Linked DNA regions of Oreochromis niloticus. The protein of the gene in region 1 purifies or fractionates together with the protein of each later gene. This does not show direct contact. Links are inferred from orthologs where the notes say so. Each region holds a gene or a part of one and is shown in the gene's direction. Other genes may lie near its edges.

Region 1 (7,833 bases):
TATTTTGAAACATTTATGCGTCTGGTAATGTGGAGAATGGTCCAGGAAAAAAGTGCACTTGTGCGTGGACAAGTGCACAAGCACAACTAAGTTTTAATACCTTATATTATACTATATTATGCTACAATATTACATAATGTATATTTACATTATGATATTCATAAGTCACACAGTGAATTACTGTGTAAACTGGTGTCAGATTGAGTAGAAAACAATCGCAGCATAAGCTGCAGTATATGATTTGCTGTCCGTGTCTTCTTAATGGGACTCTCTAACCTGGCAAACGATGAATGATGGTGGCTGGGATGGGGGAGGAGAAGTGTTTTCTCCCTATGACCCTCCCTCACTCTCTTTCCTTTCCCCTCTCTCTCTCTCACACACACAAATTACCCCTAAATGAAATAGGTAAAGTTTGAGTAACTTTCTCTCTTCCTTTTCCTTTTCCTTTTCCTTCTCCTCTCCCTCCCTCCCTCATTCTCTCTCCCTTGCCCATTCTCCTGCAGTCTCACTCACACACTCACACTCTGGCTCTCTTCAGTGGTACAGCACAGACAGGCACAACATCTGTCCTGCACGTGAAAAAGGTTTTTTTGGGGGGGGGTTTTACCATCCAAATATGCTACCTGCTTTGTGCTGAACTCTTGTGCTCGTGTGGGCCAAGGCTGAAAAAAGGGGTGGAAGCACTGGCAGAGAGGAAGAAATTAAACCAAGGTGGATGATGGTGAAATAATGCACACAGATTTGTCCGTTTGTAGGTGCCCAGTGAACAGATTCTATGAAAAGCTGTGTGCATCTGCATACATGCAGACATATACTTGCATAATGAAATGTTACAACAACAAAAAAAGACATTTTACTATCTTTTGATACTGTTTTTTATGCAAAAATGACAAAAAAAAACTACTGAAGGTCCAGCTGATTTTTTTATTTTTTTTTTGTAATTTCCATTATCAGGAGCAGTCTGTCCTCTGAAAGAAGGAAGGGCTGTGGTCGAAGTCTCTCACAAAAGCAAATGAAAGGCCCCTTTAATGGTCAACTCGTTTTCTTTCAACCTCAATATTCACCCTGTTTGTTTTTTTTCCCCCTGCCTTTAGAGGTCGTGCATGTAAGCGTGTTTCGGGCAGAAACTCAGTAATGCTACTACTTTTGCATTCGAAGGCAAACAAACAGAAAACATGCATTTAAAGTGTTGCAGGTGTCCTTGAATTCTTTGTCATTTCCGAGCCAGCTCTGAAGCTTATCGTGCATTGATGAATATCTCAAGCCATGATGAATACCTTACAAATGGGAAAATAGCTTTTGGCATGTTGTGCAGGCAGTCTAAGTCAAAAGACAGGTGTGCTCACTGTAATGTTTCCAGAAGCTGCAAACAAAATCTATACTGATCCTTAAAAATCACTAAGAAGTGATATTCCACCAGATGATTTTAAAGTCTTGAAACTGCACACTGTGGTATTGGTTTGCATTTTTTTTATGAATGAGTCATTATTTATCTTTTAAGTGGTAATTAAATCTTTAATAGTAAATAAACAAAACAAACAAACAAAAAACGGCCTCCTGTAGGCCACTTTTTTGTTGTTCCACACCTTCTAAAGTGTTGCCTCCTTCTTTCAGGCCCTGCTATTTTACTTTTTTGTCAAGCTCAATTTGCCAACAGGGCCCTGGCTCAAGGTTGGAGATGGAAATGGAGGAGGAGGAGGGGGAGGCCACCGGCAGTTATGGCAGGGGCCCCTGAAGGGGCAAAAAACGGTTCCTAAAGAGTGGGAGGCAGGAATTCCACAAACCAAGCCTGGCTGCTAAACATTCAGCTTTCTCTGCTGCAGAAGTGCCCTTTGAAATCCAGCTGCAACTGCATTTGGAGGAAGAGGGGGACAAGAGAAATCAGAGGGGGAGGGGGACTTTAAATTTCCAACAAAAACAGAGGATGGAGGAGAAGAGGCAGAAGAGAAAGAGAGGAAGAGAGCCATAGAAGGGAGTGGGGTGTCTGGTAGAGCGTCTGAATGGGCGTGCTCCTCCAGGGCCTCACCCCCCACTGTAAGGGACCTCCACAGATTATCCTTCATCTCAGCTTGTCCGTCTTGACCCCAACGACCCCGAGGCCAGCTCCATGTCCCCTTCCCCTCGTGCTCTCTTTTCTACACACACACACAACCTGGATCCTCATGCAAAAAAAAAAAAAAAAGGAAGAGGGGGGGCCCAATAGGAGAAAATCCAGGCTGATGCGGAGGACAAATGAGAAGGGGGAAGAAAGAAGAAAAGAGTGCTTTTCACCACCACTGGTGTGAAATAGAAGTGGGGCAGGGAGATGGGCCGAGGGGGAAGGCACATGAAGCACAGTGTGTGGACAGTGCTGCAGGTGTTTTACTCCAAGGATTCAGGATTTAGCGATGAGGGTGTTCAAATCAATAGCTGCAACATTTGCTTCATTGCTTGGAAGCTTCACACTTTCACTGCCTTTTTTGTTTCTTTGAAATTATATTTTCTACCGATCTGTAAAGCCTCGTTGAAAAATGAAAAAAGTGACACAAGTTTCCCCTTTTTGGAGCTTTTGTGAAAACTGCATCGCTGCTGATATTAGCACAGTGACTTTCCGTTGGCTTCTTCTAAACTCAGCATGATTCACCGCCTGCATGCAGCACAGAGGAAGCCCGTTAACATGGTGGTCCCCTCTCAGAGAAACTCATTTGCTCTTCGACGTACTCAGTAACTTTCCTCTAGCTGAAAAAGAAAAAAAACTTACTCTCCATCCTAACTGAGCTCCATAATGAAACATATAAACTTCTTTCCGCAAACAAAAACATGGGAAAATCCAATGTCGTGCGTGCCTACGTGGAGGACCCCTTATTTGCCCACATGGAGGTAAAAATGGAAAAATCAAGTAGCAGGCTGGACAAACTGTGAGCGTGAATATGTTAGTGCTCCTCGGGTTCTATTTGCAAAGCTGCAGGTGGATGCCTGAATGACACGATGCTGTTTGTGTTGGCTCGGCCCCTGGCTGCACTTTGTGGATGTGACCTACCTGCTTGATTTTTTTTGTTTTTTTAATGTAAAAAGGCAATCTGGAAAGAATGACAAGCACGGGAGCCACTGTGCATTTGAGTGGTGGACAGAAATCTCTGTAATATTTGGAGGCATTTCTTAAATAGAGACGTGCATCTGTGGTGCTGCAGATGCACGTCTGATTCTTGAGATGTACTTACCTCTTAACTTAAAAGTGAATTCTGACGCAGTATTCATGTGTTAAACAACTGAATCTGTGTTCTATCACAGTTACCGGCCTTTTATTCAGTAGTGGATGCTGATTACACAAAACTCTTCATTTGATCCTCTCGTTATGGATTTTTATATGTGGCAATATTTTTAGATGTGTTTATCATTTCACCTGGATTTTTGCACTGAAAATGTCAGTGACCTCTGAGGGAAGTTTACATCTGCATATGCAGTACATTTTAGAAAAAATGTAAAAACCTTTTTCAATTATAAATTTTGTTTATACAGCGCCAAATTATAACAACAGTCGCCTCAAGGCGCTTTATAGTGTAAGGTAGACTTTACAGTATACATACAGAGAAAAACCCAACAATCATATGACCCCCTATGAGCAAGCACTTTGGTGACAGTGGGAAGGAAAAACTCCCTTTTAACAGGAAGAAACCTCTGGCAGAACCAGGCTCAGGGAGGGGCGGGGCCATCTGCTGCGACCGGTTGGGATGAGAGAAGGAAGACAGGATAAAAGACATGCTGTGGAAGCTGTTTGTGAAGTACACTTTTCTACCACTCCACACTATTACATCCCTCAGGTATACACATTACTTATAGATACACATAGCCTGTAAATAAATCATGTTCAGTCAAGTGTGCGATATTTTTAAATCCCAGTCTTATAGTATATATATTTTCAAGATTTGTGTCATTAAATATAATGATATAAACAAAAAAGAGTCTTTAATCTTGAATCTAGAACTGCAGATGACAAAAATGCATACATGCAATATGTGTACCTGCCTGACGTTCTTTTGTTGTTTGTATGTTAACTAGCTACCTGACTAACTTTCATGGCTACATGTTGTTAGTTGAGTTTATGAACTGGACGTTTTCATCGTATTATATTTCTCCAATAAATCAAGGAATCTCTGTAAACATGTGCACCTGTTCATCCAATTTTCTTCAAAGCTTCCAGGGACATTATCTCAGAACCTCCTAGCATGATTTGAGCTTTGGATAGCAGCGAAAGCCAGTATTGGCAGGAAGTTATAAAAAAGCTAGTAATTCTAGGTTCAGCTGAGATAATTGTGTTTCACACAAACTGTTTCAAGGGGTTACAAAAATAGAAATAAAAGAAGGAAATAAAACAACACACATGTTTAAAATTCCATAATCAAAGTCATTTTTTCTGTTGAATTACTATAACTAGACTTTACAACATAGTACAGAACATGTAATAATAATAATAATAATAATAATAATAACAATAACAATAATATAATCACATCGCAAAAAAGTATTTTACAGAGTAACATAACATAGCATGAAGTGAAATAAACAAACTCCTTTTCCAAGTGTTGTTATTAACACTGAGAAAATCCCCTGTGTTAAATACGAGGATAGTATTTAATTCAGCCCTGCTACATTGCATTCCAATAAACATTGCTGTCTGTTTTTCATGCCATGGGTCACATGATTATATCCTTTATGATACTACTTAAACAGGATAATTAAATGATGTAAGCATTAAAACAGTTATAGAGACTAGGACTGGCATACTGAAAGACAAATTAAAAGCTGTGCTCTTTTTTTTCTGAGTGGATAATTCCCTGAAGTCTACATTTCCACCAGCGCGGTTAAACTCCTTCTCGCTAGGGGGCGATAGTTTAAAACCAGGTTTTGGATTGCTGGTACCCGAGTAATCGAGGAAACTCTCTCTGTTGCTAACAGTAGCTAGCCGGATAATCTCCTGAACAGCGCAGCCGTTCTTATTTTCTTGGCCGTTACAGTGTTGGTCTGTGTTTTTCTGTTTAGAGTCCAGCGATCTTGGAATTCACCGTTAGTGACAAGCGTTAAACCAGACATCGACGGCCAACCTTTTTTTTTTTTTTCTCTCCGCTGGATGTTTGGCCACTCTTGTATTTCTCCCAGGATGTTAGCACATAAGCAAACCAGCTAGCTAGCAAATCTGCTAAAGTAGCCAAATAGCTGCTCTTTCCGGATGCTTTGAATAGCAACGCAGCGGATTTGGGGAGTTCCTAGTCGGCCTTGTATGATGTCAAGCAACCGGCCACAGCAAAGCGCTGCTGGGGCGAGTTCAGTGCCCAGCACAAGTAGCAGCAGCAGCAGCAGTAGTAGTACAGGAGGCACTGGGAATACAAACGGTGGCGGTGGCAGCAGCGCTCCCACAAGTAATGGGAGCACTTCTGGAAATGTTGTGCCCTCACGGACCCTGGCAGCGGCCGGAGAGGGCGGCCTGTCAGTGCCAACTCTGGCCGCCGTGCCGTCACCCCGGGGCGGCTTAGCTTCTCTCAGCAGACCGTCTGCGTCCTCTGGTAACAGAAAGAGATCCCTGCATCAGGCACCACTGTACAACGGCCTCTTGAATTCATACGAAGATAAAAGCAACGACTTCGTCTGGTTAGTTTTGTATTGCACTCGAGCTTTGGGGTGAGTTCCGTAAAAGTTTGAGAGCTGCACGATGACTCGGGTTTCTGCTTGTTTTTCCAGTCCCATTTGCTTCGAAATGATAGACGAGGCACACATGACGAAGTGCGGGCACAGTTTTTGGTGAGTGTTTGTGTTGTAGAGAAAATGATGCACAGCAAAGTATTCGACAGTGTCACAAATGCTGAAGAGCAACAAATGTCACAGACTGAAGGAACAAAGTTATCTTTAAGACAAACCATGCACTCTGCGGGGATCCATACTTACAGCTGATTACTGTGCACTTTAAAAAAAACTTTTGACAATATTTTTTTATAGTATTTTTTTGTTCTTGCATTTTGTTTTAAAGTTTGGGCATGTTTTTAATGTTACAGATGGGCTTCTAGAGGAAGTTCCAAATCACAGTCCATCACATCAGTGTTGCTATATTTTAATGACAATAACAACATCAAACCCATACAATGCAAGTTTTGTACACCATGCAAGCCTCACTTCGTCTCTGGTCAGACCCAAGAGTTTTTCTGACTCAAAATAGGGGTGACGCTGCAAAAGCAAGATTGGTTAAAGCAGCGAGTCTGTTTGGTGTACATTTCTGCATTTTATTTTGGGAGTTTAATGAGTGAAAAGCAAGCTTACGGTTAAAACATGTCCAACTAATTTATAATCCTGGTAATTTTCCTTTAGAGGATGCCACCAATATTGTTTTCTATTCAAGGTGAAAAAAAAAACCCTGAATTCAACTTTTCATTAATGCCAAAAGCCTGTAAAGGCTTGCTGTTTGTTTTGCACAGAGAATTGATCAGGATTCATTAGGCTAACATTAAAAAAGTAAGCACAATGGCTATTGCCACCGGAATCAGTAAAATCAACTGGAAGGAGTGCTTTATTTTGGCAAAAATCCCAATTATTTTGATCGATAATGAAATGACGGATGTTTAATCTAGTCTAAGATATAAGAGACTTTTATTTTATGTAAGCACATTTTCTTTTAATTATAGAAAGTAAATGAATGAACTAAGTCATCCACACTGCATTTTGATAAGAAGCAAAAAGGAAAAGGTTCAAACTGCAAAGTTGGTTGTAATAATTAAAAACAACATCAACAACAACAAAAAAACAGAGCAAAAACATTAACTAGTTTTTAATGACAGTAGATGGTCTTAAGCTGAATATAAGCCTGTAGACTCTTCAGCAAAGTTATGGTAAAGCTTAACATGATTACTGGTAATCCACAGTTGGCTCAGTGTTCTTTATGCCTGTTGTGTTTGCTTGCAGTGATTCTCATTTCTGTTAATGGGCTCGTTTTTCAATGCTCATAATAAACATGACCAAAGATCCAAGTAATGACATCAGCACATTAGCAAGTTATGCCTCAGTTTGCGATAGTTTGTCTACTCACTGGTGATGTCGGTGCGAGCAGATATCCTTAACAGGATCAGAGCTCTGGCTTTGAGCAAAAGTTCTGTTTTTGAGGGTCACATATAATCAGAAGAAGGCCCAGTATGGGATGAATAAAGATTATTTTGACTATGACTCGTTTAAAGCTAATCTTGTAAGATCTTGGACTGAAACGTGGAGCTGGAGTCCATAATATTTATTTATTCTCTCTCTCCATCCTGCAGTTTCAAGTGTATCCGCCAGAGTCTGGAGGACAGCAACAGATGTCCCAAGTGTAACTATATTATCGATAATGTGGATCAGGTCTACCCAAACTTTCTTGGTGGGTATTTTGAACTGGAGGGATTTTTTGTTTTGTTTTGGGTTTTTTCTAACAGTCAGATGATCAGCTCCTAAACTAATCATTTTTCTCAGAGCTTTTCATTTTAACTTGGACATTAAAATATAGCTGTTATGTCAGTTTTGGACTTAATGATTTTTAAAATCACAATATTTGAATAGATTTGTCTTTAGCTCATAATCACTACTAAAATGAGGCTTTCGTATTTGAATGAAGTCAAAATTGAAAGTTTTGTCTCATAAATGGGCCAAACAAAAATCTAATGAAATGCATTGTGTAGGTATTTAAATGCATAATGATAAAGATGTCGCTGCCACTTTTCTTTTATTCATCACAAGTAAAATGTCTCTGCAGATGTGTTGTTCCTTAGCTGTGACAGTCTCTTTGTCATATACTTACTCCACTGTTCCTCCTCTCTTATTTATCCCTTGTCCACAACTTCC
Region 2 (7,030 bases), on another chromosome or scaffold:
CACCCAACCAAACAGAGTAAAATATATGTTCTCTGACAGTATATGTTGTTGAGAAGTGGTAAAGAACAGGAAACAGGTGGATCATGACTTGTTTGTCTTTGTTGCTGACACCTGCTTATCTGTTTACAGTCTAACAGCAACTGTTCTGCATTTTATTTCATATCGTTTCTAAGCACTAAAAAGGAGAGACTTCCCACTGACTTACCTCAAAGACACTGAGTATTGTAGGAGATCATGAAATATCCCTTAAGACAATATAATTTGTGTCTATGATGACAGATGTTTTTTCTTAACTTTCGTAATGTAGTAGCCTCAGCTTATGAGGCAACCTTTCAAACTGATGAGAAAGATGTTTTTCATGATGTTTGCATCAATGTGATGAAGTAATCCGATTTGTCAACGACAGACAATTCAGATTGGAAGTTTTAGGCAACTGTTACCAATTAGATTTTTCAGAAAACACCATATCACAATATATCTCCTACTTCTAAGTCAGCTTTAATCGAGACAAGTAACATTTTGAACATAATACTGTAAAAACCTAAATAAAGGGCCAAAACATTTATTGTTGTTCTTGCACTGCTGAAACCTGCAATCCTCCTCTAAAGCCCTCAAAGGTAATTATATTGAGGAAGTCATTTATTTTTATACATACTATTTTTATTTTATTTTATCGCTCAATAATCCCCTAATACATTTGAATACATTACTGTGTACAGCTTTTCGGTTTTTTGTTACTTCATTCTAAAAGCCTAAAAAAATACTATAAACATGGATCATTGTGAGTAGACTTTTAAAATTATTTTTATTTATTTATGGACTTATTGTGGCATTGTCAGAAAAAGTTGACAAAGCATTCTGAATCCGGCTCTACTTATGTCAACATGATCTGAAAGCCTATGTAACCGTTTTGTTTTTTGTTGTTTTTATTTTATTTTTAAAATCCCATGTGGGTTGCTTGTATATAGCAGCATATAGCTTCATTCAATCTTCATTATTCTGAACAGAGCAGTTGGTAAACACCAGTGTGCAGGATGGCAGCAGGACAGCCAGTGTGCGACGCAGACCTGGAATAGGATCGTTCATATCTGCCGTCTTGTTCTCATCGCTGCTGCCATCTGCACCTGCAGCTTCTTCTCTGTCCTGCTCTTCTTCCTCACCACCCTCCCCCTCCTCTGCTGGTGGATTCTGACGAGGCTGGAACCTGACGTCCACAAACTCCAGCTGGCGAAGTCCACGGAGCATCCTGCAACTCCGGGCTATCTGCAGCTCGCTGAGTGTGCAGTCCCACAGGCGCAGACGTTTCAGGTCTCTCAGGCGGCTGGCGCAGAGCAAACCTGGACCCACCTCTTTTCCACCAAGACTTAGCTCCTCCAGTCCAAGCCAGCCAGCCCCCAAGCCAAGGGAGGCCATATGTAACTGGTAGCCCTGCCGCCCTGTAATGCCTATTTCCAGAAACTTGAGCCTGGAAAGCCCTTCTACACCACAGACACCATCTTTGGCAGCACAGCTTCTAAGCCCATTAGCTGTTACGCGAAAGGTGTCACGTAGCTCTAGACGACAGAGCCTCTCCCATGATGTCAGACCCTGCAGGTGCTGGTCTGTAAAAGAGGGCACATTGTTAAGGACTAACCTCTCAATACCAATCCCTGAAGGAGAGCCAGCCCCTTTTCCTTTCTGGTTCCTTCCTTTCAGTTGAGAACCAACACTGGATGTGGGTTCTGCTCTTTCTTGGAGACTAGCTGATGAAGTAGGCAGGGTCTGATTGAAGAAGCCACGAGGCAGCTCGCAACCCCGCAGCTCCAGCACCTGCAAAGATGGAGGTAGGATCTGGCAACTGGGCAGGCTTCTCAGGTCTGCATGCAGAAGATAGAGTTTACTCAGTCGAGGGCATTTTGTGGACAAAGCTTTAAGCCAAGACTCAGAGAGAAAGGTTCCGCCACGTGCGGACAGCAGCAAACCACGCAAGCGAAGGCACCTTAGTCCGCAACCCAGGTACTGACGCAGCAGGACCCAAAGGATGCGGGATGTCACCTAACACACAGTGGACAGTCCATGAATATGTGTGTGTTGAGAGAGAGAAACAATAACTGTCAATAACTGCACAAACACACAACCCATATGTTATCAAAAGATGCTCACAGTTTATTTTTAGAGCATATTTTACACACAAAAGCATTTGCTTTACAAGGGGCTTTAAAAAGCAATAGACAATTTTATTTACTATCAAAGAAACTAAAATACACACACAATAGAAAAACACATACTCGCCAGGAGAAAATATTAGTAGACGGCTGTTAAGAATAACTAGTAACAGCTCAGAAACTGTCAATAGATGGCCTAAGACTCAAATCAGCAGCTAGGTTGTTGAAACAAAGACATGTCAAAACTAAAGCAGGCTAATATTAAGCTCCTGAAATAGCTTTCCCAAAGCTTCAACATCAATCGTACTGAAAATTTGTAGACTATGTTTAAAAGCTGGCTCTGTGCCAGGAAACCAACCAATTTAAATGAACTCGACCAATTCTGCAAAGAACAGTGGTCAAATATGCAGCCACTGTTGCACCAGAAGCTTGTCGATGGCTACCGAAAGTATCTAACTGAATTGCAACCAATATTTATATTAACTAAATATTAGTTGGGGTTGTATGTGTATATTTGATTCAAACTTGTGCATCTAGTTTTTCCTCTTTAAAGGCATTAAAGATGCGTTCTGTACAATTATTCCACCCTGGACAAAGAACAGTTCAAAGAAATTATGAAAAGCCCCAAATTTCTATGTAAAGAGCTTGGAAAGAAAAATGGCTGGACTTCTTTAAGTTTCTTGAAGACATTTCACCTCTCACCCAAGAAGCTTCTTAAGTTCTAAGACCAAATGGTGGAAAGTCCCAGGTATTTAAGCTCTAGTGGGAGTTGTCCCTTAAGACGGTCGTTTGGTCTTAGAACTGAAGAAGCTTCTCGAATGAGAGGTGAAATGTCTTCAAGAAACTTAAAGCAGTCCAGTCCCTTTTATTTCCAAGCTCCTTGGATTACCATGAGAACCTACACAGACCCAAATTCCTGTGGCATTCATTCATATAAATTTCTCAGCACAACTGTATAAGTGGGCCCGTTTTGAGACAGGAAAATCCGGGTGTTGTATTTTTATTTGATGACACAGATGAAACCAGTGCTGATTTTATGTGAGGGGATATATTAAAACATGAGTCAACAGCTCCTAGTCTTTCATCTTTATAAAAAAAGAAAAAGAAAAAGAAAAAGCAGAAGTTATCGCTATGGGTTTGTTTCTTTTATTATCCCCAAGTAACAGACTAGATTACTAAAAATGGCTGGCCTGCATTAACAGCAGAAACGAAAAATTATGAAGCCACACTGGCAACAACATCCTTACCCCTTTCCATGAAGTCAGGTCGACATTTCTCCACAGTCTTTGGTCTTTAACAAGGCGTTTCCACCTCTTACATACTCTAAAACCACAATTTAAAATATATAAACATATACACAAATCACATAACAAAAGACAAAACAAACGAAAACCTGAGTTTTGTTTTAAACGACGAATAACTAGTAAATCCTTGAGAGCAAAGTTGAAATCCCCTTACCTCCCGGCTCTGACGACCTCTCGTACGTTCAGGTAAGACAACACATCGATTAAAATGTTTTCGGGAAAGTAGTCCAGATTGCAGCCCCAGAATTCATCCATTTTGTAAACAAAACTCTCAAACCTCACACACGGAATGGTACATGGACGCACACGGGTTGCGCCCGAATCAGCAATCCCCCGGAAACACCGGTCCACTGACTGTGTGACCGAGCGGCCGCTGGGCAGAAATCAAATCAGCTACTTTAAGCTCAACACAACATTCCCCGACCCAGACAGCCTATGTTTCTATAAACCCGTCAGGTTTATGACCGTGAATATGCGGCACGTTTTGTTTTAAAAAAGAGCCCCACGAAGAGCCACTTAACGTCCTTTGCATCAACAGTCCACTGCGCCTGCGCGGATTACCGGACAAGATGGCGACCAGCAATGGTGGAGGAATGGAAGTGGATGGGGCAGGCGAGTATTTATCCCTCATCTCATCGTTTCTGTCCACATCAACCAAAACCTGCGTGCAGGTTGCCGTATATGTTGTTTTTGTGTGTTATAAGTGAGCGGAAGTGACGACTCCGTGGTGTTAAGGGGTCGTAAGGAGCTTGCTCGCTGACATAAGCAGGTTAACGTACTCAGCTCTGTGAAGCTGTCAGTACATTCATCACTGTGGATGTTTGAGGCAGTCCCCTCTGCTCTGCCACAGGAGTTTGCATCAGAAATTCGAAGTAAAATCTAACATCATGTGTAGTTTGATTAAAATGCTGTGGCAGTGCTGCAACACCAACCACGTAAACATTAGCTGTACATGAGGGGAACCGACATGCAGGCCTATATCTGTGTGATTAGTTACACATACATTAAAATGACTGTATGTAGCGAGCATAGGGCGACCACTCAGAGTCGAGAAAGTCGCGTTTTATTAATTTTATAAACTGTGTCATTGGGCACTCACTGACTGATCTACCTGCTCAGGTGTCCTGTTGGGAAACTGTGGAACTCGTTTTATGATTGCATATGCTATATAACTTTTTAGGAACGATCATGAGACTGATCTTTTGTGCCAAACTAAACAGATGATTAATGCCAAAAGGATATATCCAGTCACTTATTTTGAATGTAAAGAAAACTGTGTATGCACTGTTGCTTGGCTCTGAAGCTAAGTGACATAGATCATTGTCATCAGCTACAATCTGAGTGTAAATAATTTCTCTTATTATTTTGTCTGTTATGCATTGGTTATACGTTATTGATTGTTTTGGGTTCATACTGATTTACGGCTATTGATGTGTCTCTGCTTATTTTCTTGTGTTTCACATATACATGCAGTTTGATTAGACGTATACCGAAACAGGACTGATCCATTGTTCATTAACTTTCCAGTTAATGTGATAGGAGCATATTAATCACTTTTGGTTGATCACTGTTCCTTTTTTTCCTATTTTTTCAGTAATTATTTGGATTTGAAGAAGTATTTCCACTTGTACCTGGTTCATTTAATCTCAAATCACTGTTGCCCTTTTGCACAACTATCTCAGATTTGCCTAAAAAGGCAATGGTCCACAGATTGGATACATATTTATTGCTGTGAAATTTTAGCTTCATATATCAAATACTTTTCAAGATGTATTCTTTTCAAAAATGGTCCATCGACACATTTTCATTGATATCATACGAAGGTAAAATTTTACAGCTTGGGACCATAAAATTCTAAGATGGTTGAGCAGAAAACCCATGGTGATTTGAAATGGAATGATCCCTTTGTCTGGCTTTCCAGTAATTGTTTGAATTTGATAAAGTGCTTCCAGTTAACAAGTTTTTTGACTTTTTTATATTGTCATTGACATACTGTTAATCCCAATCTTATTTGTGTCTTTGTATGACTGTAGCCAGCCCCAGTGTTATGGCCTCAGGGGTCACTGGGAGTGTTTCTGTGGCCTTACACCCTCTGGTTATCCTAAACATATCCGATCACTGGATACGCATCCGCTCGCAGGAGGGCCGACCAATGCAGGGTATGTGTGAAAAAACAACACATTATCCAATCACATATTTATATATTTTGAGCTTACGTGCATTGGAATAAAAGTCTAAGTTAAAGATAAACATATGCTGTTGTGTTTGTCTCTCTGCTCAGTGATTGGAGCTCTGATTGGGAAACAGGAGGGTAGAAACATTGAGGTGATGAACTCCTTTGAGTTGCTGTCTCACACCATAGACGACAAAGTGCACATTGACAAGGAGTACTACTACACCAAGGAGGAACAGTGTAAGTTTTCATCAAGTCTTAAGGACAATAATGCACATATTTGTGTGTGCATCTTCTTTGATGACTCAGTTGTTCGGTAGCTGGAGTTGTGCTAAAATTAGTAACACCGGTATAATCATCATTCAGGAGATCAGTTCACACATCAGCTTGTTGGATGTGTTTTTCTAGACTTTAGTTTTGTCCTTGCCTGCTTTATTAAATTGAGACATTTTGTATCTGTGTTCTGACTTTCTCACACAAAGAACAATAAACAATACAACAATTGATAAGTCTTGAAGGCCAGAATGGGACTCTGTAGTTTTGGCGTTTCAGTTCCCAAAGAGTACCGATACATTGTTAATATGTCTGGATGGGCAAGGAGTAAAACATGTGAAGGGAGGTTTCTAACACTTGACCAAGAGATGGCAGCATTGGATCCAGTTCTTGAGCCATAAGTAAATGATTTACACACAAGTCTTTTGGTCAAAATTACATAAAAACTACCAAAACTCTCATTCTCTGCCTCTTATTTTGGATTTTGTAATTTTGTTTTCAAGTCGGTTAAGTTGCTGTTAATTTCCAGAAAATCAGAACAGGCCTTATAATAAAAACACAACTCTTTATGAAGGCAGTTGACTCACAGTCGTGCAGACTCTGTAAGAGTTTGCAGAAAAGCCTCATAAAGCAGAGTTTTTATTTATTTAGTTTTTTATCACGTTTTATTAAAATGACAAAGACTTAAACCTGTAGTTTGTTTTGTAGGTTCACTATATTGTTTTAGTTCGCTTTAGTTAACTGCTGTAACCTTGAATAAAGCGGAGCATGAGCAAAGCAAAAAAAAAAAAAAAACTCTTCAGTTTTCATGTAACTATGAGAGAGTTCATTGATGATTATGTTCTCCAAGCCCCTCTCAGATATGTATTTATTAGTAAGTCAAGTCATCAGATCATTTTTGTCCTTACATTGTCCTCTGGTCTCTCAGTCAAACAGGTCTTCAAAGACATGGAGTTTCTGGGCTGGTACACCACAGGTGGTCCTCCAGACCAGTCAGATATCCACATTCACAAGCAGGTAGGCAGACACTGAAGCCCACTGACAGGTGGCAGGATGTCGATGTTTTGACACGTGTACTGTGGCCATGAATATTTCAGAAGCGAAATGTATCAGTTTTAACCTTTTAAATATCTTAA

Evidence for each region. Proteins that work in one complex are often made in the same cells at the same time.
Region 2: the proteins of cop1 (region 1) and cops6 purify together in Homo sapiens (affinity purification with western blotting; 3 studies listed by BioGRID and IntAct, with this or other methods). This does not show direct contact. The link is inferred for Oreochromis niloticus from reciprocal best matches to the Homo sapiens genes COP1 and COPS6.

What each region holds. Positions count from the first base shown.
Region 1 is NC_031982.2:4,016,476-4,024,308, forward strand, and holds the start of cop1 (E3 ubiquitin-protein ligase COP1), read left to right. Parts: upstream 1-4,801; 5' UTR 4,802-5,257; coding exon 5,258-5,625; intron 5,626-5,715; coding exon 5,716-5,775; intron 5,776-7,274; coding exon 7,275-7,372; intron 7,373-7,833. UniProt on the Homo sapiens protein: E3 ubiquitin-protein ligase that mediates ubiquitination and subsequent proteasomal degradation of target proteins.
Region 2 is NC_031966.2:16,067,041-16,074,070, reverse strand, and holds the start of cops6 (COP9 signalosome complex subunit 6), read left to right. Parts: upstream 1-3,935; 5' UTR 3,936-4,017; coding exon 4,018-4,060; intron 4,061-5,481; coding exon 5,482-5,607; intron 5,608-5,729; coding exon 5,730-5,861; intron 5,862-6,822; coding exon 6,823-6,911; intron 6,912-7,030. Other genes in the region: uncharacterized protein LOC100705850, read right to left, coding at 985-2,034, 3,392-3,467, 3,603-3,703. UniProt on the Homo sapiens protein: Component of the COP9 signalosome complex (CSN), a complex involved in various cellular and developmental processes.